Linked DNA regions of Rattus norvegicus. The protein of the gene in region 2 interacts with the protein of the main gene of each other region in a biochemical or structural test. Links are inferred from orthologs where the notes say so. Each region holds a gene or a part of one and is shown on either strand. Other genes may lie near its edges.

Region 1 (16,447 bases), on a different chromosome or scaffold from region 2:
GGGCAAGGCCACAACCCAACCTGGGGCAGAGCCCTGGGTCTCCTGCATGAGGGAAGATGACAGCAGACTTGGTCTCAGCTCCACGGCACAGGGTAATGGAGCTGGAAAGAGCAAGACCAGAGTCTTACCTGTGCTGGGTTTTCTGTGGAAGCTGCAGCAGGGCCAGGCACCTGCATGAGACTGCTGGTACCCTCTTGTAAATACACAAGGTCTGTGTCAGGTTGGGGCAGTACAAAGCCACTACCTGCTTGCCGCTTCCCTGAATCTTGGACAGGGCCCGGTGGGGTTGTGACCACAGCCAAAGGAGCCTTTAAGGGAGAGCTCAGTTGCAGCTGTCGAGTAGAAGCAGACCTCTTTTGGTGGGTATGATGTGGAAGCAATCTTGCTTCCTCCTCAGACCCTGGCCCAATACTGGGCAGCAGCCGCTTCTGTGAGAATAAGATTGGGTGCTGTGGTCAGCTGGTGCCATCGGACCGCCCATGCCCACCTGCCCTACTCAGTGAGCCTGCTAAGTTCCCATCAGACCAGCACAGTCTGCTGCTTCATGACTTCTCACCCAAGCCTGCCGCTCAGTCTCCTGTTACCAACGGCAGTACCAGATGGACTCATTTACCCCAGCACAATGTCTGTTCATCCTCAACTAGAGTTACTAGACCACCCACCCATCTACTAGGCTTGGCCACCACTCCCAAGTACTGGGGGATGAGGTGGGCCAGGTCCTGCCTAGTCCATGCACCTAACCCCTCCTGCCCCACCCACCATGGCAAACTGCAGGCACTGGCGCCAACGACACTTCTGGCGCTTCTGGTTGCTGCCCCCGAATTTGGGCTTGTCACAGCAGAAGTCGCAGTGGCCACAGTCCATCCGCCGTAGGCAGGCTGCACAGGCCCCACACTTGCGGTTCTGCCGCTGGTTCGTATAGGGCTGCTGGGTGGAGGGAACGATGGTGCCATCACTAAGGGCCATCCTCAACACCCTCGTGGAGGGGCTAGCTACACACCAGGCTCAGTCTAACTCTCCTCAGTGTCTGTGACTCGGGAACGGTCCACTCACTATGCCAGCATTACAGCATCTGCTATGGAGACAGCAAGTACCTCTGGACCTCACTTCCACCAGGACTCTGCTGACTTCCCATCCGTTCTCACTCCTACGCCAGCTGTATTGACTTAAGCTATATGAGTGTTTCTCTGTACCCTTGTGATGGTCACTATTCAGCCTGCTTGTGCTGCACCAGCCATCAATGCCGGCTCATTTGAGAATAAGCACTGTCACTGTGCTGCTAACTCCTAATTCCTTCCCCGATAATTGCTTATCCCACCCTGGTACTCACTATTACCCACTACTAGTTCTAGTACAGCATCTGCTTCCTTGGGGTTAAAGAAGCAGCAGGAGAGCCCAGGCTTATCCAGGGAGCGGGGCCACTCACTAGCTCGTCCTCCTCTACACAGTCATAGACGAACTCAGCAGGTGCTGTGGGCGTTTGGTCGCTGATGTGCTGCAGAGGCAAACAGGCTGGGGTCAGGCAGGTTCTGAGGAGTGCGGGATTGTGCCTTCCCCCTGCCCACCAGGGCATTACCAGTTCTGTGGGCTCTGGATGCTGTGACGCAGCGTGTGGAGGAAGTGGCGGGGCTCGGGAGTGACGTCGAGAAGCTACCCTCGGGCCTCTCTTACTATGATCATATTTACCCTAGAAGCCAAAAGATCAGTTAAGGCCTGGTGGCACCGGTAGACACTGGACCCCAGGGAGCACAGAAAGCACGCACTGAATGGTCACGCAGTGTGCAGTAAGGCACTGACAGTGGGAGGAACCACAACGTGGGGAGGGCGCTGCTGGCATCCTTGAGGGTGGCCTCGGAAGCGATGAGCAAGGTGCTGGCAGAGAAAGGCAGGTGGGCAGAACCAAGGAGACGAACATGGGGCAGAAAAGAAAATAAGACATGAGGCAGGAAAGCCAGACTGGCAGGAAGCAACAGCAGTGCTGGTGAAGAATTTAAAAGCAGAATGAGCTCTGGTCTAGCCTTGGCTCCACCATCACCAGTCCCTTCAGCCTGACTCACCCAAAAACAGCGCCGTTGCAAACACCTCCACTGGCGCTTGAGACCAGGGCGGGGAAAGCGAAGGCAGATGCGGCAATGGCCACAGTCCTCTTGGGTCTGACAACCCCGACACACACCACACCCTCGGTTCTGTGGGGAGGCCGGAGGTATGATGTCTGGAGTAAGGGCTACGAAGGCCAGGGACTGAGGTGAGCCTGCACCCACTCCATGTGACTGGACTCACCTTCTCCACAATCCGCAGGCAGCGTCTCTGCTCACACTTGCAGAAGAGCCCTGAGGCCACATCGTTGGGCAGCTGCAGGCAGCAGATGGAGCACACCCCGCAGTCTTCTTTCACCAGGCAAGCTGTGCACTCCCCACAGCCAACTCGCTGCCGGAGACAGATGGGTAAGCTCAGAAGCCCTGGCTCCAGGACCGCTGCTCTCCAGATGCTCACACCCCTACTATGCCAGTCTCCCACTAGCCTCCTTGCCATAGCTGACCAGCTTGCCAACACCAAGGCCACTACGATGCCTCCTCCACGTGCTCTGTTAAGTGCATCCATGTCTACTGATAGCACATTAATTCCCATTACTGGATCTATGAACAAACCAACAGCCAAATCCCTATCTAAAAAAACAAAAACCAATGCATGGATCCTAAACTCTCTCTTAGCCCTACCACACACTGCTTCCCTGTAGACTACACAGACATAGTGTTCTTACCTTAAACATTCGCTGTTCTCGGTTGAAGGCAATTCTCTGTGCTGGTGGAAGAAGAAGGGAGAGAAACGGAAACCAGGCCATTAGATATGTGGCTTCAGCTACTACCTTCACCCCAACTTTTACCATTTTACCTATAGCAAGAGTGGGGCTCACAGGCTGACTCCAGATATACTGTAAGCCTCTACCATATAGCCTCCAGCGTGGCCTGTCTAATTCCCTTTACCTCGGCAGTCTTTGCACAATGTCCTGCGTCTCTCCCTTTTGATACCATCCCATGACAGGTGGATTCCACAATTCTCACAGCACCTAAAGTGAAAGAGCAGGGATCAGCACCTCCCATCCCACCTTGGCCTTGCCCACCTGGCCACTGTAGCCAACACTCACAAAGGTGCAGGTGCAGGCGCAGGTGCAGACACAGGCACAGGCACAGGTGCAGGCGCAGACGCAGTCACAGGTAATAAAGCTGTGGCAGGAGCGACCTTATTTCCTTCCCGTGGAGTCTCTTTCCTGACCTCACTTCTCTGTGGCCCAACCTGCTGTTTCTTAGCCTTGGCTGGTTTAGAAGTCTTCTTTTTCTTCTTGCTGGGGACAGCCAAGGGATGGGTCTGAAGATGAAGGCAAGAAGCATGCAGATTAATGCCAGGGTGTCATGTGACACAACTGCCCTGGTATGGGCACCAACCTTGTCAAGTACCTTGGGAACTGGGTGGCATAAGATGCCTTGTCTGAAGTCAAACAGGGTAAGATCGCATGCAGGGCCCAGGTATCGAGTCAGCTCAATTTTGCTTCGGATCTTTTCTCCTGTGGGGCTGAGAATGAACCAGAATGACTTGGCACCAAGATGGGGCCAATGACAATGACAAGCCACTCACACATCCTCACCCATCCGGTGAGGTGCAGGAAGCAGCCTGCAGTCTGACTGTGTGCCCCACACAAGGCCTACCCCACTGTAAGTAACAGGAACTCAAAATGTGAATGTAAATACCAGCATGCATACAAATGTTAATAAATAATATAACTGTGAACCCCCTTTTGATCTATAACATCACATATTCACGGTAATTCCATAAAATCATAATACAGTGGAAAGTTCTATTTTCTGGCAATACTTTAAGCATTTTCATGTCATAACAACAAGCATTATTTAGGCATCTGCAATGGTGTTGCTGTAAACAAGTCTAATTAATGCAGTGCCTACAGCAAAATGACATACAGGACGTCAGGTAGGAGTCAACACAGGAACAGTACGCCACAGCCTACACATACAGCTATATGGTTCTCAATGTTGCTTCCATCACTAACTACATATGGTCTTGCAAGATTATGTTGTCTGATGATACTACCATGTCCTAGTTTTCTTCACATGACAGCCCATTAAATAACATGTTTCTCAGAATGTATCAGTAGTAGTAAGCAATGTACAACTACATGAATATAGCTTAGATGTATAGTATAGCAGTGAATGGTATCACCTGGGTTTGTGTAACTGTAGTCACTGTATACTTCTCAGATTGTACTACTACTGCTAACTGTATATAGACACAATACATAGGCTAGACACAGTGTTGCATGCCTTCAATTCCAGCACTTGGGAGGCAGAGGCAGGGGGATGGATTTCTCTGAGTTCAAGACCAGCCTGGTCTACCTAGTGAACTCCAGGGCTCTGTAGCGATCCTGTCTCAGAAATAAATACTAAAAACAAAGAAACATAAATATACTTACAACATGTAACACTAGTGTTAAAAAATTATACAAGTAAAAATCAATACAAGATACAGAAATATTAAGTAACATGTAGAGGTTGGAGAGATGGCTCAGAGGTTAAGAGCACTGACTGTTTTCCCAGAGGTCCTGAGTTTAATTCCCAGCAACCACATGGTGGCTCACAACCATCTGTAATGAGATCCTATGCCCTCTTCTGACCTGCAGGCATACATGTAAGTAATAAATAAATCTTTAAAAAAAAAAAGAAAAGTAACACATAAATATGTATTGTTTTGCTTTAAGGTGGAGGTCTCATAAAGAAACATGACCCAGAACTTCTAATCCTCCCGTCTCTACCCACCCCTACCCCCTAGTGCTAGGATTTCATTAGTATACCAACCGCCATGCTTAGTTTATGGAGTGGTGACAAACTCGAGGCTCTATGAACATTACTAACACTCTCAGGACTTAAATATGTTGTAATGCATGCAAAAATGAGTAATCAAAAAAGTTTGTAACAGAAATATCTTTAAAACACGAAAATGAAACTATATGCAAAACACGGTGTAAGCATCATTAATGCTGAAAGACGGTGCTCCAGGTCTTTTCACCTCTGAGCTGTGAGAGGCAGTCACTGTCTCTCGAAACAAACTATCTACTCCTTGTTTGTAAAAACAAGTCACTTTAGAAAAGGCACTTACTGAACTGATACTTGGTTATACAAGTTCAAACAGACAGGGGGCCTTTCCTAGGCATAGTACAGCACAGAGACTACTGAGCCCTCTTCATATCATCCTATGGGAATTGGGATTCAGAGAAATGTCAAAAGCATGGCATTATGGATTCTGATCCTACTGTGAGAAACTTTGTTATTGCTGGCCCAGAAGTAACACATTTCCTACCTGCGTCCACAAAAGTAACAAACTCATTTACTAACCTGATGCATGTACATATGTACATGCACAATTACTTAGAAGGTTTTTAATTTTTATACAAGCTCATGTGAAAAAAAATAAGAAATTTTATTACATTCTTCTAGGGAATGGCAACTTAAATATACAGGAAGAGTGTAAAACTTTTAATAGTTGCATCAGTAATACCATGCTTATAAACTATAATGTTGACATGTTTAGAGTCAATTCTCATCATATATGATAATTATATATTATTTAGTTGCTACAAATCCTGAATTCTTACAACAAGGAACACTCTGCCTACGGGAGAAACGGGGTTGGTTCCAGCAAGCCTGACACATTTTCAAGCAACTGACCAATAGTCCTGTTTTATGTGTCTTTGCTTAAAAACACTGTAACATTTGTTTCTTACGAATGACTCCAGGACTGTTAAAGAGTAAGAGCCACTGGCTTTAGAGGATGTTTTATCTAGGTTTGCCTGCTGATATTTTGTTTTTCTAAAGATACCTGCCGTACAGAACCTGTACTATAAGTACCATGTTTTTACATCATATCACCTTCTGAAACATGCAAGCCAGCCAGCATCAGCTGAGATGTTTATGTTTCTCTGGTTTTTTTTTTTTTTTTTTTTTTTTTTTTTGGTTCTTTTTTTCGGAGCTGGGGACCGAACCCAGGGCCTTGCGCTTCCTAGGCAAGCGCTCTACCACTGAGCTAAATCCCCAACCCCCGATGTTTATGTTTCTCTAGTGCCCACTGACAAGTCTTTGGCTTTCCTTAGAACAATGCAGGTCACCAGGCTTTACTGCCCATTGGTTCACCGTTTCACAAATTTTGCTGTTTACTGTTGTTCCTAATTTTGTGGTGTTTAAACAAAATCTCAGGCATTCGATTTTACCACAGAAGACTTGGGAGCCAGATGCTGGGGTGAGAGCATGACAGCTCAGAGAGGCAGAGAGAGCACCCAGCAGACCTTCCTCCTCAGCTGACAGCCCAAGCAGTCCCTACTCATGCAAAATCCCTTCCTCAAACTGAATGTCCTCCCTTCTACTGTGGATCCCTCTGTCCACCCTTCTGACTACCTCTTACTCTCCATAATTCTTTAATAATCTTATGCTCACTTCCTGTCAACTGGCTGCTTGTTCTGCCTCTTGACCTAAGGTTCAGCCACACCACAGCTAACCCCAGGTTTCCCCCCCCCCCCCAGTAAATACAACTAATCCCAGGGTTCACAGTGTGATTAAATACCCTACAACAGTATCTGCTCTTTCCAGAACAGCCTCACACACATCTGAACATGCTTCCTCTTCTCTTTCCGGATGGACCATTTCTGATTTTGAACGCTGTAACTCAACCGGATAGCATTGCAATTCATGCGTGTAAGAAGCCTATCTGGCAAGGAGAAAAGGCAGTATCCTTGCTCTCGGAGCACTAGAAAATACTTCAGCAATTGATTTGGGAATCATTTTAAACAACAAATTTGCCAACAACAAAAATATGGCTCTAAATAGACGGTGGACCAGTTTATAGAACCAGAAAGAATGAGAGAGAGAGAGAATATATAAGAGTTCTTATTCAACTTTGATTCCAAATACATGCACTAGGCAATTCAAATTCTTTAGCTATCCCATGTGTGTCTGTGAATAATCACAAATGTACTGTGAGTATCGACTTTGATCAAATAAACTTTATTAAGAATAGGTGATTAAGAAAACACAAAACTTTTAACAAGGACTATGTGCACAACTTTAACCACATCCATAGATTTAAACACACCACCCCCTTTAATTACTAACGATGTCCAACTCCACTGAACGCTGTCCACAGCCCACCCGTTACCTCCGATAATAGATGTCTGAGCGTCCACACGAGGCCCCTGACTTTCGAAAGGCCTCTCGGCGTTTCCAGCCAGGGCCCAGGGCTGGGCAGTCCTGCCAGGCCTCAGCCATAGATGCTTCAGAAGCCTGCAAGATTGGAAGAAGGTAAAGTATGGGGAAAAGTGGCCAATTATTTCCAGGCCACAAAAGCCATACGTTTCCTTTAATACTTAACCCCAGATTAGCACAAGTATGTCCTTGGTGCAGGAAATACTCCCAGTCTTTGACTTAACAGTCCCATCCCTCCTTTTTGTTCTCCTCCAAACATGCATATTACCCCTCCTCAGTCTGAGAAGACTTGTTCCTCCTACTCTGGGTAAGAGGCCCCCAATTCTTTCCTTCTCAGGATACTACACCAGTGTTCTAACCACACATTTAAACTTTCCTTCACCTGAATTTCCAATGTCTTGCAGTGCTCTAGCTGCATCTCTGTGTCTGAGTCCTGGATTCCTCCATACACTGGATCAAACATTCTTGCCATTTCTCAGGCTGGAAGCCTCTCATGTGTTCTGTTCCCCTTACGTTCAAGAGCTCTCCCCAAAGTTTATTTTTCCCTCACTTATTCCGATCCATAACTCCTCTCCAGTCTCAGTCTCAAATGACTCTATTGCTCACCCCTATGGCCAGTGTTAGCTACTCTTTCTCTTAACTGTACGTATCATTCTCCATTTCTCTTATCATCTTGTGAAACTTCCTTGTTCCTCCACAGTGACCTGCCTCTCTTATTTCTTAGCCTGTGTTCCAGGACAACGCCATAGCCTCCCAACCATCAGACATTCTACTTCCTTTTTGTTCGCCACGAGTCTCCAGTCCGTCCCTCATTATTCTAACCCTACTATTTCTACTGTCTCGAGGCCCTATCCTTGCATTATCAGCTTTGGGACCCCATTTCTATCCTGTTAACACGAAGGCCCAATGACTCTCTGAACGTTCTCTCTCTTCTTCTCCTGGCCATCCTGGTCCTATAATCTCAACATCACTGTCAATGTCCTGAGCCACATCTTTTCCTTTTCTGTCTTCTTATCCAGTCCCCCCAGTCCTCTCTTTCAATATCCGGAAGTAGCCATTCCTTCCCCTGACGTGAGGGCCCTTCGCGTCTCCCCGCTAGCGTTCGGCGCCTCCACAGACTCCTCCTGAGCTCTCGCCACTCCCACCGCTATCTCACCAGCTTGACACCAGGCTCGCAGCTTCCTCGGCTCTAGGCCGGTGGACCCATGGGAAGGATCCCGCTTGCGCGACCCGCCGGTTCTACTCTTCTTCTTCCTCCTCTTCCACCGCAGCCTCTTCCAAAACAGTAGTTGTCGCCTCTGCGGCGGTTGGTTAGTCCCGGAACCGGAAACCCAATGCTTGCCTTTGGGGCTCCGACTAGGACCAGCACCTGTGTGTGCAGCCTTGTCACGCGTGCCCTCAATGGGGAGGCTCCGCGCCTGCGTATTGCGGTTTCAGGGGCGCGCGGTTTGTCGGGAACCTGCAGCGCCTGCGCACTGACAACACCCGCAGCCCGCCGGGTCTCTCTTGACTGTGCGCCTGCGCACCGAGGATGGTGCCCAGTCAATGCAATCTTCCCTGCTGCTGGTCTCCAAAGTGGCTCCAGACACAAGGGGGCGTGAATTGCCTCGCTGGCTCGGCCCACTCTTAATTTACGTCTCCACAAAAACCACCAGCAACGAAGTTAAGCCTGTCCACTTCCTTTTCCCGGAGACACAGCTCCTTTGTTCCTGTGATTACCTTCTTCAGGACTGGTACCCACTTCGTGAATAGGATCACAGCACCCTGGCCAGGGTCCCTTCTTGGGAAACAAGGAGGAGGCGTGGTATGCAAGCAAATATAATGAGGGCGCCAAGGGAGAGATTGCCATTCCTCAGAGGCCCAATAGGAGAGAATGGTGAACTGACCAAGGTAATTTATTTTGCTTTAAGACGACTCCGTTTTGCGTGCTTCACACACCTGCTCCTCGGCACTGCTGTGTTATGTGTGTTACAGAGTTGGAGAGTTCCAGACGACTGGGAAAGATCACTCGATGAAATCCAATTAGCTGAATTTTATTAAGCTGGCCAGCTAACTGCACCCACCAGATCTAGATAAGAGACTGAAACCCAGGCTAAAAGGGAAGGGGGAGTTTTAAAGGCAAAACCACAATTGGTTCATTTATGAGGAATTTGTAGCTATGTGAGAAAATGCTTTTCTTCCACCTTGCATACAACCATAAGCATGTTTAAAGAAGTCAGAGCTAGCAGTTAATCACTGCACAGTAATTACACATTTTGGGGACATGGATAAAGAGACTTTGAGGATTCCCTGGAGTTGTTTCCAGGTTCTGCTGATAGACTGAAGCCCTGAGGTAAAGTAAAGCACACCTGAGGAAAGTGTCTTGATTTGGGCCACACTACATTCTCCACTGGTTCTGAATCATGTGGATCAAATCACTGATTCATATTCATGTTGGGCTAAATGGTACTATTTTGCCCGTAGGAACTCAGAAGTCACAAGTTTTGGTTCCTTAGGGCTAACATAAAGCTCCTAAGTCTGTTGATCCAGCCATTCCTGTCCTTGTAAGGAGAAGAATGAGAATAGCGGAGCCCACCCTCTTGTTTCTACTGACAACTCTGGCAGTCAAAAGGTGTTTTCTACCTTCAGCCCCATTGTGTGTAACACACACACACACACACACACACACACACACACAACTTTTGTTTACTATTGATAAACAATCAGGGGCCCAGAAAGGGCAATGTTATCATTTGACTACCTGCTGAATGGGGGCATCAAAATCCTTGGGGAGAAGAACTTAACCTTCACCATCAGGGTATATAATTGAGAGTCTCCTGGCCCCATAGGTAAGGTAAATCCTGTAATAGACACTGTTTACAGAGTCTGGTTAGAAATCTTTTGGATTTATTGTTGAAGAAACCTAGACAAGAAGTTTATAAAGGAAGGTGCAACTAGAAGGCCTTAGGAGGAGGAGGGTTAAGAAGGGTAGTATGCAGTTCCATACTAGACAGTCGATGATCCACTGGCCAGAGACACTGAGTCATTTCTTACTTTTTTTTTTTTTTTTTTTGGAGATCTTTCTGGAGTTGTCAGATCTTGTCTTTTTACCGTAACCAACTGGTTGACGTAGAAGCATCATTCTTCTCTGAGAAAGACCCAAAGATACCTTTCTCTGCTGGTAGTAAATCCTACCCTCACCGATTTTGTAGCAATATGGTGGCCAGTGAGTCTCTTTGGCCCTACAGGGTAAGGGTGGTCTGAGTTACCTGTTAAGAACTCTGGATGCACTTAGATGAAAACTGGTGATAAATATCTAGGAAAGTAGTGAAAGACCCCCGAAGGGATCCTCCCACTCAAGTCTCGGGAAAGACGCGCACCCAGTAGGACACAGACACCGACTTGCTGTAACCACACGAGGAAGCTTTATTGTAAGCGAGATGAAACGAGAGCTCAGGCCAGCATGCTGGGGTCGAGACTCATACACCACACAGGGAGTAGAGGAGTTCGACCCCGACCTGAATTTTCACAGAGCTTATAAAGGAAAAAACCACAAACCAGGGGGATCAAGAGGGAGGGAGGAGGGGAATTCCAAAACCCTAAACTGCCCATACAATTAGGTCATATACTAGTCATGTGTAACACTAGGCAACACACCCAGGACTTTGTGACATTGTGATTAGGGGTAGTGACATTTTACAGGGCCATTGGAACATTGTGGCCGGAGGCTATGGGTCATTGTGGCTGTTCCAGGAAACTTTTCATGCAAGAATGTTCCGGGAACCATTGTACAGCAAGGGAGGGGTGAAAAGTTCATGTTCTCACAGACCCTACTTCTTCTTTCTGGGTAGCTAGGCCCCTACTTCTTCTTTTTGGGTAGCTAGGCGGCTTATTATTAATTTTTAATCCTTCAGTAGTCCCTCCACTCCAGTGGAAATGCCAGTGATTATACCTAGGACTTTGAGAAAGGGTAGGACCTGACCTCTCATTTGTCGTACCATGTTGCTATAAACCCTCTGATTGGGATCGTCAAGGGTTCTCTACTAGGTACCATTCCTAATTTCGGGGGAAAACCACCAAGGCACAAGTCCCAGACCACAGGGTAGGCAGTGGTAAACCCAAGTGCTAGGTGGTAAACATCAAGCGAGGTGTTGGGAATGTTCGGACATAAGGGAGGGGTGATAGTGCACAGAGTCAAAGTATTAACGTGGTCTGAGGGAATCCACTGTGCCCTGAGGAGTTAAAAAGCAATCTTCAATACCTTAAAGATATGAGAGAGATAGGGGTGGTGGCAGTATTTGGCTCAGAGCAATTAATGAGAAGTGAGGTGAGAGAGTGTAGTAGTCCAATGGTGGTTGTGAGTTTGACCTGTAAGGGACAGACACGACCAGCACTCTCCAGAGTGCCCAGGCAGAGTATGATTCCTTAGCAGATATACAATTAGTATGGCCCAGATTTGTCCCGTGGTATTTGCAGGATCAATATGGGTAACCATTTTAAGTTTCTGACCACTTTTTGCAGTCATCTTCTTTTGGGTCATAGAGAGAATAGGCATAAGCGGTGAAGCCCTGAGGAAGAAGAAATAGAGAAGGGAGTTATAGGGGACTGATCTGGCCTTTGAATTTCCAAACCCTATTAGGATGGGCTGTTGGTTAGAGGTAGAGGTCATTTGATGTTCAAGTAAGTAAGAGCTACACCAGACAGGTGGGTCTCCCAAACGTCATCAGGACTGAAAACATGGCCCCACTGTCCAGAAGAAAAGAGATGGATTGCCCTGATACTAAGATAACTACCCAAGCCTACCTGTTGGAGACAGCAGTGGTTGGACCAATAGAGCATAGGCCCCATCAGTTGCCCATGACCAGACCTAGTAGGCTGGAGGGTGATCTTGGCTTGATGCCTTCATCCCTTGAAGGACATCAGAACAGTCAGGGCCTATTGTCCTTCTTGCTGGCACCATGGGCACGATAGGAATGGTTTGTGAGGGTTTGGACAGACCCAAACCCGATTACCCTCCTGACCGTCCTGGAAGTTCTTGGGCTCTGCCAGCTTAGGCAGCTGCTATGGCCACCTGAAAGGCTTCAGGCATTTTTGTTGGGGGCTTTTTCATCTCTCCTATGATACATGTTGAAGGCCACAGCTCAGACTACTTCCTGTGAAGTCAGAAGTTCTTTCTCTAGAGATTTAAGTTTGGCTCTAAGGTCAGGGAAACTCTGGGAGAAGTGGGTCACAAGGAGTTGTTTTCTTTCTGAGACTAGAGATCCAGGAAGGTATAGTTTAAGAGGGCGTTGGCCCTGGGATTCAGATGTCCCTCTCACCACCCCTGTGTTTTTCTTTGAGGTATTATAATGCTAAATTCTGTACATAAAGGTCTAGGCCTATGAGTGAATTCTGACATTTACAACCCTTTGTTGTGCAGACTATTGGTTAAATAAAAATGGCTACAGCTAACTAATGGAAGGATTAGAGGGAAGCAGGTTTTTGAGTTGCGTGGTTGTGATGGTTTGAATATGGTTGGCCCAGAAAATAGCACTATTTGGAGATGTGGCCTTGTTCGAGTAGGTGTAGCCTTGTTGGAGTAAGTGTGGCCTTATTGGAGGAGTGTGTCATTTTGGACGTAAGCTTTAAGACCCTCATCCTTGTTGCCTGGAAGTGAGTCTCCTCAAAGCAGCCTTGATGATAATGAACCAAACCTCTGACCCTGTAAGCAAACCCCAATTAAATGTTGTCCTTATAAGAGTTGTCTTGGTCATGGTGTCTGTTCACAGCAGTAAAACCCCAGCTAAGACACTGGTTGAGCAGGGTGGAAGGAGCCAGGTCCAGCATGGCCACGAAAGTGACAGTGTTGAAAGACCCCCAAAGGGATCCTCCCACTCAAGTCTCGGGAAAGACGCGCACCCAGTAGGACACAGACACCGACTTGCTGTAACCACACGAGGAAGCTTTATTGTAAGCGAGATGAAACGAGAGCTCAGGCCAGCATGCTGGGGTCGAGACTCATACACCACACAGGGAGTAGAGGAGTTCGACCCCGACCTGAATTTTCACAGAGCTTATAAAGGAAAAAACCACAAACCAGGGGGATCAAGAGGGAGGGAGGAGGGGAATTCCAAAACCCTAAACTGCCCATACAATTAGGTCATATACTAGTCATGTGTAACACTAGGCAACACACCCAGGACTTTGTGACATTGTGATTAGGGGTAGTGACATTTTACAGGGCCATTGGAACATTGTGGCCGGAGGCTATGGGTCATTGTGGCTGTTCCAGGAAACTTTTCATGCAAGAATGTTCCGGGAACCATTGTACAGCAAGGGAGGGGTGAAAAGTTCATGTTCTCACAGACCCTACTTCTTCTTTCTGGGTAGCTAGGCCCCTACTTCTTCTTTTTGGGTAGCTAGGCGGCTTATTATTAATTTTTAATCCTTCATTCCCCACTTCTTCTTTTTCATCAGCTCTAATCTTAGAGCCATTGTTCATCCCATTGTAACTCTTGGTACTGTTGTCGCAGGACTAGTACCTGAACAGCACTCACTCTTTCTTTTATAAATGCCACCAGCCTATTGAGTATACATGGCCCGAAAGTAAGTAGAAGCATGAGAATTATAATGGGCCCAACTAAAGTAGAGAGGAGAGTGGTTAACCATGGGGACTTATTAAACCAACTCTCAAACCATCCCTGTCTGTCTTCTCTTTCTTTTTTCCGTATATCTAAGCGCTCTCTAAGTTTAGCCATCGAATCCTTGATCACTCCAGAATGATCAACATAAAAACAACATTCTTCTTTTAGAGCAGCACAGAGTCCTCCTTCCTTGAGGAATAATAAATCTAGTCCCCTTCTATTCTGTAGTACCACTTCAGACAGGGAGGTTAAAGACTCTTCTAGTTTAGTTATAGATTGTTCTATGGATCTAAGGTCAGTATCCATAGCTGCTCGTAATTCCTCATAATATTGGGGGGTCTGAATTAATGCAGCGGCACCCGAACCAACTCCAGCCGCTATCCCCAGTCCCATGAGTACTGCAAAGGTCAAGGTGATAGGCTCTCTCTTCCAGCGACCTCGGTGATCAAACTCATCTACAAAAGAGCTATCATCATGATATAGGAGTCTAGGAACGAGTTGAACCAAAATACAGTAATCTTTGGAAGTATTGAAAACAGAAGTTGATACACAAGGAGTGAGACCAGTGTTGCAGGCCCATGCTGTGTCTAGGGGGGGTACTAGATACTGATTACCTCCCGTAGGCTGGACGGTTTGTGTTTGATTACAAAGGTGCTGTTTATCATGAGGTACCTGGCCTAAACAAAGTCCACTTCCTGAGACTGCTGTTAGAGTTAATTTTCTGTTTTCCCCCCAAGGGCATTGAGAGGGGTCTGTTGTTTTGTTGTAACCCCTGGTCTGAGCAATACCTTCATAATATGGGGGGCTAGAGGCATAGCACAACCAACAAGACTGAGTAACGTTAGGATTGGTATGATTCAGGACCAGGAATGCCCCTTGTGTTAAGCTAAACAGACGATTTTCAGTGTCCGGGGGTATGGGAGTATTTGAAGTGGAGGGAGGTTCTTTAGCTAGGACATTAGGACCTACAGGTTGGGCTGGGGGGCTACTGAGGCTTAAGCGAACCATGACTGATGATCCAGGCTTGTTATTATAGTCATTAAAAACTACCCCCCATCTCATGCCCCTTATCCATGTTTGGGTATCATAATTTTTACCAGTGTCTGTAAATTTGATCCGAATTCTATCTAAATCAGCAGGGCGACAGTCAAACCTTTTATATGGTTCTATTATGACATACCTCCCTGGCCCAGAGTTTTCAAAAGAAAAGGTAGCCCTGTCATGAGTATATTCGCTGTCCCATTTCCAATCACCGTCATTGGAAGAAACACAACTCCATTTAGCACAATAATGTGAGGCTGGTCCCCCTCATATAGTCTGCTTACTATGCTCTGGGCAGCAGTAAAACCCATAGCTTCTTACTTGATTAGGGGGAATGGAAGTGGGGATAATCTGTTTGAGGCAGAAAGCTAGGTCAGGCCACCATGTCCCTGGCGGTGCTATTTTGGAAGTGGTGAATAAAACCTGATCCAGAGCAGGACCAAGAACCTGCCAGGTTAGAATTAAAGGCTGATGTGGGTTGTAATTTGGTAGGTAAACCTGACCTGAGTGAGGAGCAGTCTTAACTGAATCATCTGGTGGGTGCTCACGGTCAGGTCTGGTGGTTTTGGCGTTGGGAACACGAGTAGTAGCGGGGCCTCGGTTTGCATCAGCAGCAGCAGTGACGGCAGCAGTAGCGGCGGCTTTGGCGGCATTGGCGGCGGCAGCGGTCTGGATGATTTCCGGTTTCGATGGCGTGGGTTTCGGAGGCGTGGGTTTTTTAGCTGGCAGCGGAGGATTCGCAGCTCCTATGTGTCCTGGCCATATTCCTGCATCTTGGCTCTTTACCTCTGCGGCACAGGCGAAGCTTAAGAGGATTATTAGTAGTTGCCACCATCCAGTTGTTGTCTTCATTTTGGCTGGGTGTCTTCTTGACGTGGGAGGCGTGTATCCAAGCAGCGATCCCATCCACCTTTACTGCCATGGGGGTGGTCAGCAACACCAGATATGGTCCTTTCCACCGAGGCTCCAAGGTGCCAGCTCGATGTCGTCTGACTAAGACCGAATCTCCAACCTGGAACCTGTGGGGCACCTCTGAAGTTCCCGGTGCGTAGGCTTCTTTTATCTGGTCCCAGATCTGTGTTCTGATGACTTCCAGAGCCTTTAGATGAGTAAACAAAGCAGAGGATGAGGAGGAGTCGGCACTGGGATCCAATATCCCACTGGACTCAGTCAAGGGGGGCGGTCCCCCATGGAGAATCTCATAAGGAGTGAGGCCGAAACGTCCGGGTGTGTTTCGGACCCTAAGAAGCGCAAAGGGAAGGAGAGTCACCCAGTCTTTACCACCGGTCTCAATGGCTAATTTAGTTAGGGTCTCTTTTAGAGTTCTATTCATCCTTTCTACCTGTCCTGAACTCTGGGGTCTATATGCACAATGTAATTTCCAATCTGTCCCCAGTTGCAAGGCCAATCCCTGACTTACCTGGGCAACAAAAGCTGGCCCATTATCCGAGCCGATTACCTTGGGTACCCCAAACCGGGGTAAGATTTCTTCAAGAATCTTCTTGGCCACCACCTGAGCAGTTTCGGATTTTGTGGGGAAAG
Region 2 (15,810 bases):
TCTTTTTTGGTCTTTTTGGGACTGGGTTTCTCTGTGTAGCCCTGGCTGTCCTCAAACTCACTCTGTAGACCAGGCTGGCACCTAAAGAAATTTTAAACAAGTACATCTACACTGTACTAGGAACCAACTGAAACATCAAAAATGGAAATTTTGTACAAATTATTTAAGTTCAAATATATTTGACAAAATTTCCCTCAGTGATACTAATTAACTTTTGGTAAAATAATTAATAGAAGTTTGTTTTAAAAAATGAGTATGGAAATCCTTACTGTATTTAGAGGTCTGCTTTTTTGAGTTGTTTTTAGTACAGAACAAACAGACTTTTGAAAATCAATAAATGACATTCTCAAATAATTGCACAAAAAGTAGTGGAAAATGCTGTATTGTTCAGATATTTGGATTTTTTTTTCCTTGAAAGCCTGGAATTTGTTAGAACTGGGATTCAGGTCCTCACTGTTCGCCTGGAAAAGGCAACATGTATGTGCATGCACGTGTGCACACAGAAGAGCAGACAATGGCATGTTACTTGGCACGGAGCCATTTATACTTGGAGTTTGGTGAAAGGTGTCAGATAATGTTAGGTGTTATAAATTGCAAGACTTTCTCTCCAAGAAATTAAGGTTTTTCAGCCAGGAAGTTTTGTTTTTAGGCTCACATCTGTTCTAGGAATTAGGCTTGCATATTGTTTCTATTTTTAGGCTGTTGCCAGGTGGATTTAAATTTTCTCCTCTTATGGTTGCCCAAGTTCTAACTTCCTGATTGGTTACATGGCTCTGCTTTCATTAGCCAACCACAGTGACTATGCAAATTGTTTCAGTTTCTGTTTCTGTCAGAGCTGATAAGATGGCTGCAAGGGGCTCCTATGGGGTAGGTTTGTCATTTCAAGGAGGGTTTTCATAGCATGGGGTAATGAGTGTGGGTTTCTCTTAAAGGGATCTTTTGTTTTTCAAATAAAAAATCATACTGTCCATGCAAACCTCTATAAGGCTGAAAACGCCATTTGATTTTAATGGTGATATACTTTGATACTTAGACACTGTATACGTGGTACATTTATTACTTACGTGTAAATGTGTGAGCATGCTAGCTTAGAAGCTCTTAGAATGTTCTAGATTACTACCTTTGCTTTCTAAAAGAACAGACTTTTTTATTTAAAAATTATTTATTGGTCTGAGTTACATATATATAAGGTATAGTCTTTAGTGTGTTCTTTATTCTATAGTCTCTACTGTATAGTGTATGTTCATTATAATACTAGGACACTCCAGTTTTCACTATATTGTGAATGGCTTTACAAGCACATGGCACTGACATATTTAAGATGTTTTCTGGTATAGAAGTTTTGCATTTCTAAAATATGCCTATACTAAAATGCTGGAGATATAACGAGACATGCTAAAGTCCTTTTTCAAACAATGTAGATGCAGGCATTAAAACCGAATAATGTTTATTTTTAAATGATATCTTTAAAATGGTGGCAGAAATAGGATAATGGTAGCAAGATACTTAAGAATACTGGTAAAATGTGCTAAAGCTACCAGTCCAGGAAGGTAAGGAAATGTATCTCATGAGACGTGCCAGGTTTAGTTATATGTTAGGTTTGCTTGGACTCCAAAAGCATTTGTTTCATTTCAGACTCTGGCTGTCTTGGGAAAAGATAGTTTATTGTATTTTCCCCAGTAGAAGATTGTTAGGTGGTAGGGCTCAGTGCCCTGTGCTTTCATAGTTTATAGTTGTTTACTGCACACAGTGCACTTGTCCTCTGAGATAGACATGCTACAGACCTTCGTCCTATTTGGAATGAGGAAGAAGAGGAAGAGGCTTATTTGAGTATGGAGAGACAAATGTTGGTAATAGTTACATGTACCCGCCTTTGTCCAAAGCAGCAATCATACCGAGTACGTGAGCACCTGCAGGTTTGAACTCCCTAAAACAAAGTGTGAATTAACATTCAGTTTCTTGGTAGTTTTTCATCCAGATTTATTCTATGTATATGTGTGTTTGCCTGCATGTACATACAACACACACGTGTGTGCACGAATGAAACACACACACACACACACACACACACACACACACACACACACACACACAGTGCATCCTATGTACGCCTGGGGCCCAGGGAAGCCACATTTTGAGGCACCTCAGTACTGGGTGCTGGGAATTGAACCTGGTTCTCTTGAAGAACAACCAGTGTTCTCAACCATTGAGCCATCTCTCCAGCCCAGGTGGTGGGCTTTTTGTTTTATTTTGAATGTTAAAAATATGACCTAACAAAAGAGGTCAGGCTAAAGTCACAGAAAAATAATGGGTATAAAAATAAAGTAAGTGACAATTCATCGTATTATCAGACAAATGGTAGTAAACAGTGAGAAAGGTTGTTAGTATTTATTGTATAACATTATTTTTATGGCCCTGTTTTCATGAATAAATACTACAAATTTCTGAGCAGTGCAAAGCTTAGGGTTAATCAACTGAAAAATGAGGGTTTTGTCTGTTTTTAATTTATATTATCCACTCACCCATTCACCCACCTGGCCGTCCATCCTTCTATTTGGTGTGTGGGTGTGAGTTCATGTGTGCCTTGGTGGTCAGAGGACAGTCTGTGGGAATCGTCTCTCCTTGCATTCTGTGGGTCCCAGGGCCCAAATTCAGGTCATGAAGATGATGGTGTTGAAGGTCAGGTCGGCATGATGTCGAACAGGCTCTTATCAGCAAATAGGTTAGGGATTATGGGTAATGAATACAGTGAGGTTTAGGGGTAGGTTATTAGTAGTCAGGCTTGTTGAGTTGATTTTGTTAAGCCGTGTAAGGAAAAAAATTGAGTAAAACATTCACAGGCTGGAACAGTGGCTCAGTGGTTAGGAACACTGAGTTCAGTCCCAGCAGTGGCCTTAACTCGGGCTCCACGGCATCTGATGCCCTCTCTGGCTGCTGATGGCACTTGCACACATGTGACAAACATTCACATAGATGAAAACAGAAATAAATCCTAAAAATCCTATGGTTTTCAGCATCTGATTTTTTAGAAAAATATTAGTGATGTTTCTCCCAGCATGGATGTTTGTCAGAAATCCGGGCTACCTTTACTTTCGTGATTTTGTTTTATGTTCCAGGTTTTTTGTGAGTTGTATTTTTATGTGTTCTTTACTAGAGATATTAATTTGAATTAGAGCATGGTGGTTTTGTGTGTGTGTATGCGTGTGCGTGTGCGTGTGTGTGTGTGTGCGCGTGTGTGTGTGTGTGTTTTGAATCAATTTTAGTATTTATTCAGGACTATTTTTAGAAACAGTACAGACAATATATAGTTTAAATATAGACAGTAAAATGGGGGGGAACTTCTCAAACAAAAGCTGAACAGTATTATAGAAATCTTTATTAACACAAGGCATTTGAGGTTGTGGTTATAATAGGTTTCCATTTTAATTATTTCCTTTGACTTTCACGGTGGCTGTAGTTCTTAGAGCTCTTGCCCTCAGCTGCTTCCTTTGTTGCTGGGTAAGGTTTCTGATACTTTTCTCTGATTGGCTTTAGGCAGAGAAGGCTTTGAGCCAATCAGAGTGAATTTCAGTTCCCTCACAGGACTGAAGGAAGCGCTGAAGCAGCTGTTGATTTATTTCCCTTATGAGGAGATTATATAAACTAAAATTATGGCTGCAGCAAGCTCCCTCTTGGGTATGTTTGAAAAATTGCAAGGTTCACCTGTAAGGAAGGGGGAAAATGATTAGTTTAAAAATGTGTTGACTAGAAAAAACTAATAAAGATAGTGAATTTGGGGCAAATAAGAAACTCTGGTCACAGGGTTTTTTTTGTAGTATTAAAAATCCCCTCTAAAATTACCTTATAATCTACACATTTTATTGCTTTTCAAAAGCAGAGCTTATACAGTTTTTTTAGCCAACTGTGAAAGGCAATTAATTGCGCGTGTTGTAGTAAATATATTGTTAGCACCCAGTCACCAAGAGTGGACATTTTGATTTCGTTATATGAATTAAGCTGAGTCAGTTCCGTGCAGTAGGAGGCTCTGCTCTTTGCCATCCTGCCCATGTCCACAGTCCTGGTGCATTTTGGGTTTGGAAATCTATATTAGTAACGGTATGTGAAATGGTTTGAGAGATCATCCCAATTGAATTTAATATTTTGATGGCTTTTATTTATAATTTTTTTACAAATATAAGAACTATTAACCTTGTAAAAGAAAATATATTTGAATTTTATAGATTTTAACTCATTATGTAGAAATGCTATTTTTATGTATTGTTCCTGTTTAACTGATTCCTCAGATAAGTTATATTTTAGAAACATTTATGAACATTGATTAAATCCAGATAAAGTAGCATAAAAGATATAAATCTTATCCACTTATTTATGTGTACTGTATATTTAAAACAAATCATGGAATTACGACATGGAATCTGTGTTCTAGGTTATTTGTTTCAAACAAAGAACCACACCGCACTATTTCAGATCTGTGTTTCGTTAACTATGTTTCTCTGACCTTATTGTCTGTCTCCTGTTGCTGGGCAGGAAATAGAATGCTGGCTGCTGATTGGCTGAGTTTGTATGTAGCTCTTCAACAGCCACTTAAATTCTTGAGGTTTTGAGCAGGAAGGTTATAAGCTAAGACAAAACAGCTTACCTTTGGCTCATGGCTGAGATCTCTTGCTAGAAAGTGAAAGAAGTGGGTGCAGGGGAGGGGGTTCAGGAAAAAGTTCTTTAAAGAAGAGGCTCACTGCTCTTCCTTTAAAAAGAATTTATCAAAAAATTGAAAAAATTACAAGGCATAGAGACATATCAGGTAACATACTTTTCTCTGGTTATTGATGTATAAATTTCTGTAGAAAATGTTGATATTTCACCATATTTACTTGGATCCAAATATGTAAAGTAAGGACTTTATATATATATATATATATGTATATATACATATATACATATATATATATATATATATATAGTTTTTAAACTGCCTTTTGATTAAAAAAGTACTTCCGGTAAAAACTTAATTCATTACATCATGTGATGTGCTTCTAGATATGCAGACATTTTCTGCTGTAAGATAGACATGCTTTTTCTGTAAAATGAGTTGCCGTCACATGGGAGTGCTTTGACTCGTGTTGCTGCCTCACAGCGAAGCAGATTCTACAGAATAACATAGATTGTCGACACCTCAAGTCCAGATGATACCTAAAGTGAGCTTTAGGCTACCTTCTGGTAACGCAACCTTGCAGATTTGTCTGCAGGGTACACGCCCTTCCCTGATGTAAAATTTTCCTGATGAGCTTTGCTATGCAAAATAGATTTCTCGAAGCAGATTGCTGATTGGTTTGCACAGATATGTCTGAACTGGTTTGTACTTGTTGTTCATGCTACTTCCTTATTGTTTTGTCTGTTTTGTTGTTAGACTTAGAACCTATGAAAATCTGCTGAATGGCTGCAGTGTGCTCCCTTGTGGGTAGTGAAGGTATTTACCTCAGTCTCTGGCAATACTTTAGTTATTACTGAATTTAATGGCTTTGTTGCAAAAACCAACTTTACTTGGGTTGTATTTATTTGTATTAAGTGTTATTTGGTGGAGAGAGTTTAGTAATAATTTTTGTTTATATTGGCTTACTAGATTTTCTAATTTCTCTTTCTGTCTCTCTCTCTCTCTCTCTCTCTCTCTCACACACACACACACACACACACACACACACTCACTCAATGTTATTTAAGAAAAAATTTGTCTTAGAGTCTGAAAGTTACGCGTAAGCAAGCAACACACAGACTTTACATCTAGGCTCAAGCACACAGCCATTCTAGATGGCCTTTTGTGTGGTTGCAGTCTTACACTGTGACACAGGCTGGATAGGAACTGACTGTAACTCAGGTTTGCCTCAGAATTGTAATGCTCCTCCTGCCTCAGCCTTCTGGTTGCCAGGATTACCAGTATACTCTACTTTGCTTGGCCCGAATCCTTCTAATTAATTAATGTATTAATTAATGTTATGAATTAGTCACATCTCATAATTCTCAGGAAAGCCTGTATGGTAGACACAGTGCCTCCTAAGACAATTTAAGGTACACTTTTCTTTTTAACACTTTAAAAGATTGAAATGTTAGGCACCTGGTTCATCTGGGAGAAGTGGGGATTCAAATTTATAACTCTCAGCAAAGTTCATCGGTTATTTGCACTATGAAAAGTTAAGGGGTTTTTGTTGTCATTGTTTGTTTGTTTTTGTTGTTGTTTTGAGACAGGGTTTCTCTATATAGCCTTAGCAGTTCTGGAACTCAATCTGTAGACCAGGCTGGCCCAGAATTCAGAGATCCACCTGCCTCTGCATGCTACTACCTTTCCCACCCAAGTCTTGGGATTAAAGGGATGCACCACCACACTGGCTTAAGCTTTAAAAATGTTTAATTTTTTTTTTTTTTTGTTCTTTTTTTTCGGAGCTGGGGACCGAACCCAGAGCCTTGCGCTTCCTAGGCAAGCGCTCTACCACTGAGCTAAATCCCCAACCCAAAAATGTTTAATTTTAATGTAAATAATTATAGCTCTTGGTTATGCATAGACTATCTGAAAATGGGCGTTTCAAAGCTTAAAGGAATGGTGCTTGAGTATTTGAACATTTACGGTGTTCATTACAGTCGGCACAGTGAGTGCTGAGCTGTGCTGTCTGGGGTAAAGTTCACTGACAGCACCGAGCAGTAGGCATTGGAAATGCCAGGGGTTGATTTCTTGCACCAAAAAGCTTATGTAGGAAACTGTATAGGTAACAGGACTTGGAAGTGGATGAGGAAAGAAAATCTCCAAGTTTAATTTTAGACTCTTAAAATAGTACCAGTGTGCTTTTGTTTGAAGGTTTCTGTAGAGTTGAAAGATGCTTTTTCTAAGAAGTACTTTAAATAAAAAGAAAACACTAAAAACTGTTTAAATTATTGAATTAAATTCAAAAAGTGAATGCAGAATAACATAATCTGGACAGTCTTTGACAAAGTGCCATGTTCTTAGAGCTGTATTGGTCTCTGACAAACAAATCAGGCTTATTTTTATGGAAAAACATTGACTATTAACAACTTAGGTTGCTTATTTATTGTGGGTAAGTTACATCAGTGAAGGTGTTAAAACTTTGATGTAGTATAGGTTGTTTGTGGCATTTTAGCCCCATTCTTGATTGAGTAGCACTGGGAAGTATATCAACAAAAGAGAAGGGCGGTAGGGAGAGCGGATACAGCACACAGCTGCACATCTACATGTGTTCTATTCTGCCTATAGTTAATCTCTCTCTTCTTTCTTTCCTCCCTCTTCCCCCTCCCGCTTCAGTCTCTTCTACAGCTGGCTATGCTCTCCTTTTGGTGGGACAATACCCAGGACCTTCCTTCACATACCAAGCAGAAATGCTCTGCAATGAGCTTTAGTCTTAGTTCTGTCTTCTTTTAAATGCTCTTTTGCATTAACCTTTTGATAGCATAAAATTGGGGATACGGGGTGTCTTTGTCTTTCTTGTTATCTTAATGTCATTTCACAATTAAATGTAGCATCTACATCTTGATAACCTTTAGCAGATAAATTTCCTTTTGCTTGTTTAGAGTTTTTAATTAGGAGGTAGTGCTGAATATGGTCTAATGGATATTCTATGTCTGCTCAGGCAGTTTATGTGGTAAATCACACATACACATATCACACACACACACACACACACACACACACACGCACGCACGCACGCACGCACGCACGCACACACACACATGCAGCCACTCACCCACTCACCCAAATATATTGTTTTAATTTTACAGACTAGAACTTCAAAATGGAGCTATTGTCAAGGCATAGTTCCTTGGAAGGTTCTGAGGAAGGATTTGTCCAGACACATCTTCTAGCTGCCTCTAGTTGTTTGGCTTGTGATAGTTCCTGTCTCACATGGTTTTATTCTGTGCATGTCGTAGTCTCAAAGACATTAATCACTTTGCAGTAGGGCTCACCCTAGTAACCTTATATTCATTTACAATTTAAACAGTAAGAATATAGAACCCCATTCTTAATCATTTTGGGAAAAACTGTCAATTAGGCACTTTTGTGGCCCTGTATATACTAGGATGCTTCAAGACTTGCCAATGATCAATATTGCTTGGCTTTTGGATGTGAATTTTTAATGACCTTTACCTGATTAGTGTTATCTCCTAATGAAACATACTGCTTAGTCATTTATAGATAAAAGGAAGAACTATGAAAATTAGAAAATACTTTAGCAGAAAAAAGATGTGAGGATGAGGGGCTGGAGATGTAACTTTGCAGTTAAGAAAGAGTATTGGCTGCTCTCACAGGGAACCCGAGTTTGGTTCCCAGCACCAACATGGTGGCTCAGAATTATCTATAACACGAGTTCTAGAGGATTCATCACCATTTCTTCACCTCCTGCATGCACATAAAATAAAAATAAATACCTTGAAAAATATTAGATTCATTTCTGTGTATATAATATGAAAGGTGAAATTTAATTGAGGATTAATGATTAAACTTGAAGCACAAGGAAAAAGATGACGTGCAGTGCTTAGTCTTGGTTGTCACGTGAAGAGATCTAGAATCACTGAGAGGTAGGCCTCTTGGCTATGCCTGTGGATGGGTTTATCTTGATTAGGTTAATTGGGTAGAAAGACCCACCCACTGTGAGTGGCCCCATTCCCTGGGCTGGATGAGGGTCTATAGAACTGGAAAAAGTAAGGAGTGTGTGGGAGTTCATCGTGACTCTGGCAGTGGATGTGATGTGACCAGCCACTTTAACCCCAGCTGCTTCAGCCTCCCTGTCATGACCTGTGTTTCATCAAAACAAATCCGCCCTCCCCAAGCTGATTTTTTTTGTCAGTATTTTATCACAGCAACTGAAAAAGTTGCAGATGCAAATTAACCTCATCCAAAAAGTCAAAGACGTTATATTAGGGGAGAAAGCAGCAAAGCGACAATGCAGATACAAATAAGAGCATCACCAAGAGTGCACTCTTGGACAGATAGGACGCTAGCAAAATTGACCAAAGGAGAGCATATTCCAGTGTATGTAGTTTTTAAGTTGTGCAGCTGTCACTACAGAGGATGCTAGCACATTTTTATTATTTCATAGAAGAACCCTGTACTCTTAGCATTCATTTCTTGCTTTCTCCAAACCTTCAAACAGAGCTGGAGTGATGGCCCAGTGGTTGGTTAAGTGCTGCTCTTGTAGACAATGACTCATGTTTGGTTCCCAGCACCTGTTTTTTTCCATGGACTTTTTACGTTCCTGAAGCTTCTCTCATTTTTAATTCCTGTATCAAGAGTAAAACTTAGCTTTGTTCCTTCTTCGTTCTCCTGTATCGATGTTCTGCTGTGCATTGTTTTGTCCCTTTTAGATTACGTGACTAGTAAATACGAGGACTAAGACATAGTAAGGATTAAGGTTTCTGTTGTCTTTGTTTTATATTTATATGATCTAAATTGTTCATATTTCAACTTTCATTAAACTTGTAATTAAATGACTTGTCTCAATCATTGAAATCCTTTTCTTTTTATTTAAAGATTCAAAATGGATAATATAGAGGAACCACAGAAAAAAGTCTTCAAGGCTCGAAAAACAATGCGAGCAAGTGATCGCCAGCAGCTCGACGCTGTGCACAGAGTCAAAGAGGAGCTGCTGAGAACTGACGGGAAACTGCTAAATGGGAACCATGAAAATGGAGACCTGGATCCTACTTCACCTTTGGAAAACACAGATTGTATTCAAGATAAAGAAGAAGTGAATGGTGTTGATGGGATTTGTTTTGAATCTGAAGAAAGTAAAACGGAATGGAAAGAAACACCGTGTATCCCCACTGTTGGTGTAAAAAACAAGCAAGAAGATTTGAATAGTGAAGCTTTGTCCCCCAGTATAACTTCTGATCTTGCTTCTAAAGTAACCACTGAACCAGCTTCTGGTACTCCAGCCTCCGATAACCCAGGATGTGATACCCTAGCCTCCGATAACCCAGGGTGTGATACCCTAGCCTCCGATAATCCAGCCTCTGATAATCCAGCCTCCGATAACCCAGCCTCTGATAACCCAGGCTCTGGTGATCTGGCTGCAGGAGAGCTGACGACTAGAGTACCAACCGCTGGTGAGTCCGCCTGTGAGGAGCTCCCCTCCAGCCATCCATCCTCTAGCGATCCCTCTTCCAGTGATCCCACCTTTAGTGATCCCTGCTGTAGTGATCCTGTCTCTGGAGATACTGCTTCTGAAGAACCCACCTCTGATGCTCTTGCCTCTGGTGACTCCGCTTCTGGTGACTCCGCTTCTGGTGAGCCAGTGTCTCATGAGCCAGCTTCAAGTGAGCCAGCTTCAGAAGAAAGAGTCACAGGTGCAGTGGCGTCTTGTGACCTGGCCTCTGGGGAGTCAGCTTTGGATGATTGTGTCACCTCTGGTGACTCGCCTTCTGATGATCTGCCTTCTAGTGAGGAGTCGCTTCGTACGTCTGTCTGCAGCAGACTGGCTTCTGGTGAGTTGATTCCTGGTGAGCTCACTGTGGAATCAGCCACTGACAGTTTTAAACCAAGTTCAGTGCCGGTTTGTGAACCAGGTCCTGACACTGACAAGACAGAGCAGAATAGCAAAAACAATGATGATTGTCCAGACAGGAATGACGACGACGAAGACTTAGCCCAAATTCAAAGTAAAGATGCATTTGACGAGGGGAATAAAGTGAACAGTAATGTTGCTGAGAAGGAAGGAACTCTAGAAACACACAGTGCAATTATTCATTCTGATCATCTACCTCCAGAAAATACGAAGAAGGTAGAGGAAGACGCTGTTGCCGAGCCTGCTCTTGAGGAAGAGGCCATCTCCAGCAGCATGGAAGTTGACCAAAGTGAAAAGGACAGGCATAAAAGTCCTGTAGAACTTGTTGACGCTGCCAGTGAGGACCCCACGGAGGAGGGCAAGAAGAATACTGTCTCAGACAACACGGACTCTATGGAAACAGATGAGATCATCCCTATCTTGGAAAAACTTGCACCCACTGAGGATGAACTCAGTTGCTTTTCAAAAACTTCTCTCCTTCCAGTTGAAACAAGTCAAGACTTGGAGGATAAAATGGAGGGTTCTTTTGGCTCACCCTCAAAACAAGAAAGTAGTGAGAATTTGCCAAAAGAAGCCTTTTTAGTCCTTTCTGATGAAGAGGATATTTCGTGTGGAAAAGATGAGTCTGAAGTTCTAGCACAGAATAAGACGAGCTCTCCAGGTTAGCTGATTAAGGATTTTTATTTGCTTTAATAAACTGTTTAATACAACATACTCAATAATATCAATATTAGTGATCCATGAGTAAGGTTTTAAAGAAATGTTGGTTTTAAAAGGGGAGAAGTTGGGGGCCAAGGAGTTCAAAGTCAACTTTGGCTACATAAGTAGTTTGAGGCTAGCCTAGGCTACCTGAGACCTAGTCTCAAACCATTATCAAAATAAATAGAAAAAAAGTCTTACTTTTACAAAGTTAGAAGAACTAGTATGTCATAGTAATCTGGAGACGAGCTGTTGCATATTGCTAAATGATAGCTGATACTTTCTAAATGATTATAATCATAGTCTAAGGAGACTAACCTAGTATTCCTTTTCTGGGAAAGTTCAGACATTAGTGGATGTCTGTCCAAACATCGTATGCACACTTCAGCTGCTAGTCAGTCGCTTTCTTCGCTCTCAGATCAAGCCCTCCAGCTGCATGGACAAAGCTAGCGCGCGTTTCTTCTCCTGTTAAATCTGGCTATTCTCAAACTTCACATAGAGCCTTAGTCCTCAGCCTTCCTAGTGCTGTGACCCCTTAATACGGTTCCTGATGAAGTGGTGACCCCCAATCATAAAATCTTTTTTGTTGCTACTTTATAATTGTAATTTTGCTACTGTTTTTTTTTTTTTTACCATAATGTAAATATTTTATATGCAGATGGTCTTAGCTGACCCCATGAAAGGGTCATTTGACCACAAAGGAGTGGTAACCCACAGGATAAAAAGCACTAACCGGAAAGATAGCATTTGCACCATTGTACTGGTATAAAGCTTAGAAAATGTGTGGAAAAGGTAGGTTTTCCTGATTCCACATTCTCTTGATGTATTTTACAAGATTGAAAATGTTTATTGGCCTTTTGTACTTACTTATGTATGGATTACCTGTTACTTCCTCTTTTTTTTTTTTTAAACCACAATGAGTATATTTCTATCAACTAATCTATAGGACTTTGTAGTTTTTTGTTTGGTGTGCATGTGTGTGTGCCTTTGTGTGTGTTTGTGTGTTTATGTGTCTAAATATCCTTACAGATTCAAACCAAAGCAAGGGGTTGGCAGGCTGTAGCCCATCAGTTTAGCAGGACAGAAGCAAGCCTGTTTGTTTATTATATTACATATAGTTATTGTTACTTCTGCACAGGACAGCATCAAAGGTTTTGGCATTACCAGAACTATAAGATCTGGTCACCAACTTTAAGTGATCTTACTGTCTAGTTTTGACAGGCTAGAGCGAAGCTCATGGAAGTTAGAACTATGAAAACATAGCAACTTAATGAGAAGGCCGTTCTTGAGAAGAGCAGAGGTGTCATGACAACCTGGCCTACCCAGAAGGATGGAGTCTATAAGAACTAATGAGCTAGTAAGCTTTGTATTGGATGAGTTTTAGAAACCCCTGTTCTGAGCAAAGGCATCTGATTATTTTATGTTAGAGAGATGGCGCAATGCTGGATATTCATTTGCTACTCTTGTCGCCGAAGACCAAAGCACCCATATGGTACCTCACAACCTCCCATAACTCTACCTCTGGAAAGACAGAGCTCTTTTCTGTCTCTTCAGTTACCTACACACACACACATACACACACACACACACACACACACACACACACACACACACTCATATACATACACACTCATACACACACACATACACACACATATACACACACACTCTCTCACACACACACACACACACACACACACACACACACACACTCAGACATACACATACACATCCATACCCCCACACAGGCACACCATACACCCAAAGACAGTTTGTACAATCCCTAGAGACTGAGCAAAAAGTTAAAGAAATAATGGACTCTACTTCCTTGTTACAACTTGTTAACATTTTTTCTTATGAGTTCTTTCTATGATACAATGTAAAATGTACCATACATTCTAATCCTTGTCATCTATTCTAAAACTCAATATATGTTCTGTCATAAGTGCCATGAATCTAGTAGGCAGATCTGACAAATGGTAATTCAGCACAGAAGATTTTGAGTTGTTTAGACCTTAGCAGTGTGTCATTTATCATTATCATTTTGATAACTGTGGCTACTGCTCTAGTTTTACTATGATTATTTATTGTTAGGTGGTCAGCATACATGCAAAGGCCAGAGGATAAGGAGTCAGTTCTCTTTACCATGTACAGCTTGGGCATAGATGTCAGGCTGGCTGGCATATGTCCTTAACTCTCTGTGCCACCTTGCTGGCTCTGGTTTATTTTAATAACAGAAAGTCAAGAAATCAGAATGATTTATAATAGTTGTTACCTATTATAGAAAATTAATAAGTAAAATTATTGACTTTGAATTTAAGTATTTTTCATATTCTGTTTATTAAACATAAATACGGCTTGAATGTGAACCTGCTCTTAAACTTCTCAGTTTGTGCTCCCATATTCTCTAAATTTCCTATTTTGTGACTTCAGTTTTGTAAATCATTTGTTCAGTAGTCCGAATGGTGACCAAAAATGTGAATTAATGAGGTGTTCCTGATTTCCATAGAAATAAGGCTCCCTTTTCCACATTTGTCCTAACAGAGGGAGAAAGGAGTGAGAAGGACAGCAAAGCTGAGGAAGAGAAGCGAGTGCCCGATGAGGAGCGGCCGCCTGGGAGAAGTATGCATGCTCCAGCTCTTGTCTTGGTGTGGCCTCAGTCATGGGCTCCCGTTTCTCCCCACGGATGGTTGCAGCACTTTTTAACTTAAGCCACAACTTACTGATGTTGTTTATGAGTAGCTCAGGGTTCTTTGGCTGTGTTTCGAATAGGAATGTGTTTACTGTGTTTGTTCTGTTCTCCATTCTGCAGAGGACGCAGACTCCCAGTAAGGCTCTTATTAGGCTGAGGGCAGGGGGCTTTGCCTGGCTGTGGTCAGTGAGTGCCGTGAGTTTCTGTCCACAGCAGATGCATGGGGAAGGAGCTGGAGCTGGTGCTGGAGACCTAGAAGAAGCTAGAAGCCAGGGTTACTTTGGTTGACTTTTGTCTATATTAAAAAGTTGTTAATGATATTAAATAAATGCATATATAGGTGTGAATACATTTCTTTGCTATTCTAACAAAGCTAAATAGTGTTTCAGCTCCTCTCTGCCTTATATCCTGAACATTATTTTACAGATCAAAGGAAATAGGTTCCACTTTGGTGGCCATAAACGATGTTGGAATACAAGTGATTTAGGTTTTGAAATGCTGAAAAGCCAGTCCAGGTCTTCAAAGGACTTCAAGAATGTTAACATTTGAAAAAAATGTTTTAAGTAAAATCTTTGAATGTGTATTCTGTGCCAAATGTACTTTTGTAACATAATTTTGCTATCTGTATGTATCTGAACGCTACTTGGCTATGTTAAATACCTTACATACTCTTACTGCTCTAAGGTTGAATGATTAGGGCACGGCTCAGTCAGAATGACAGCCTGGCACTGTTTTCACAGAGGAAGGAGGATTAAATCATTCAGCATGTACATAGCTAACAGATAGCTGTGGCATAATGATGGCTGTTATATGTTAGCGTGTTCTTGTGTGCTGTGGGATTGAGCAGAGACAAGAGCACGATGGGAGGCCTGTCTGCATGGCAAAGCTATAGACAGCTCTCCTTCTTAATGTGACAATTTCAAGGAAAAATGCTGTTTTCAGTGTGCATTGCTAAACACTTGGGAAGTTCTGTTTGTCATGCTGAAATCATTTATTTCATCTTTAAAGCTGAGCTTTGTTGAGCATGCCTACTGAGTGTTTGTGGTCCTGAGAGTATCATAGGATGAGTGGCTGAGCGCAGCCTTGGCTGGCTGGAGTGTGGAGGCCGTGACCGAGACAGTGGACTCAGCAGTGCTGGTTGCTTTGTTGTTTTTCTCAGATGAATTTTCCAGACGAAAACGGTCCAAGTCAGAAGACATGGACAGTGTGCAGTCCAAACGGCGGCGATATATGGAAGAAGAATACGAGGCAGAGTTTCAAGTAAAGATCACAGCCAAAGGAGACATCAACCAGAAGCTTCAAAAGGTGGCACACATTGCGTTTCAAATGCGTCAAGAGTGTCGCTGCATGCTTGGAGATTTTCACCATGGTCCTATTCTTCTCTGTTTACCTTGACATAACCTAGTCAGAGCTTGAAGACAATGACAAGCTATGAAATCTGTGATAAATTTTATTCCTCTGACTACTTGGCTACAGTATTTTTATTTTAAAACATTGTAGTGAATATTTAAATAGAAGGGAGCTATGACATTTTTCTGTTATTAAAAAACTAAGGATTTTGAATTTTTCTTTTTCTATATGAACATTATTTTACAATGAAGAAGAAACAAACTTTATTAATATTTAAACGTTTTAGTAGACTTTAATCTCTATAACATTAAGTTGGTCCATTCCCAAATCCCTTTTTATGTTAGTATAAAGCAGAACAGAGACAAGACTTTAGATGGATTAGGAAAAGTGAGTGTTCAGAGTAAAGATTTTTTGAATCTTCCCTGTATATGATATGCTAGCATATACAATATATGTTGAAAACAATTAGTGCTGTATGTATTTTCGGAGTGTGAGGAAGGGGAGCCGTCT

The links.
Region 1: the proteins of Atf7ip (region 2) and Mbd1 form a complex in vitro, tested with the Homo sapiens proteins (2 studies listed by BioGRID). The link is inferred for Rattus norvegicus from reciprocal best matches to the Homo sapiens genes ATF7IP and MBD1.

What each region holds. Positions count from the first base shown.
Region 1 is NC_086036.1:70,137,356-70,153,802, reverse strand, and holds the start of Mbd1 (methyl-CpG-binding domain protein 1), read right to left. Parts: upstream 8,552-16,447; 5' UTR 8,419-8,551; intron 7,341-8,418; 5' UTR 7,326-7,340; coding exon 7,216-7,325; intron 3,571-7,215; coding exon 3,456-3,570; intron 3,367-3,455; coding exon 3,146-3,366; intron 3,068-3,145; coding exon 2,985-3,067; intron 2,803-2,984; coding exon 2,762-2,802; intron 2,428-2,761; coding exon 2,281-2,427; intron 2,187-2,280; coding exon of another isoform or gene 2,058-2,186; intron 1,873-2,057; coding exon of another isoform or gene 1,798-1,872; intron 1,688-1,797; coding exon 1,577-1,687; intron 1,496-1,576; coding exon 1,427-1,495; intron 928-1,426; coding exon of another isoform or gene 760-927; intron 429-759; coding exon 129-428; intron 43-128; coding exon 1-42. UniProt on the Homo sapiens protein: Transcriptional repressor that binds CpG islands in promoters where the DNA is methylated at position 5 of cytosine within CpG dinucleotides. Binding is abolished by the presence of 7-mG that is produced by DNA damage by methylmethanesulfonate (MMS).
Region 2 is NC_086022.1:171,148,957-171,164,766, forward strand, and holds part of Atf7ip (activating transcription factor 7-interacting protein 1), read left to right. Parts: exon of another isoform or gene 1-862; coding exon of another isoform or gene 863-867; intron 868-3,533; exon of another isoform or gene 3,534-3,675; intron 3,676-9,526; coding exon of another isoform or gene 9,527-9,533; coding exon 9,534-11,220; intron 11,221-13,802; coding exon 13,803-13,880; intron 13,881-15,109; coding exon 15,110-15,255; intron 15,256-15,810. UniProt on the Homo sapiens protein: Recruiter that couples transcriptional factors to general transcription apparatus and thereby modulates transcription regulation and chromatin formation. Can both act as an activator or a repressor depending on the context.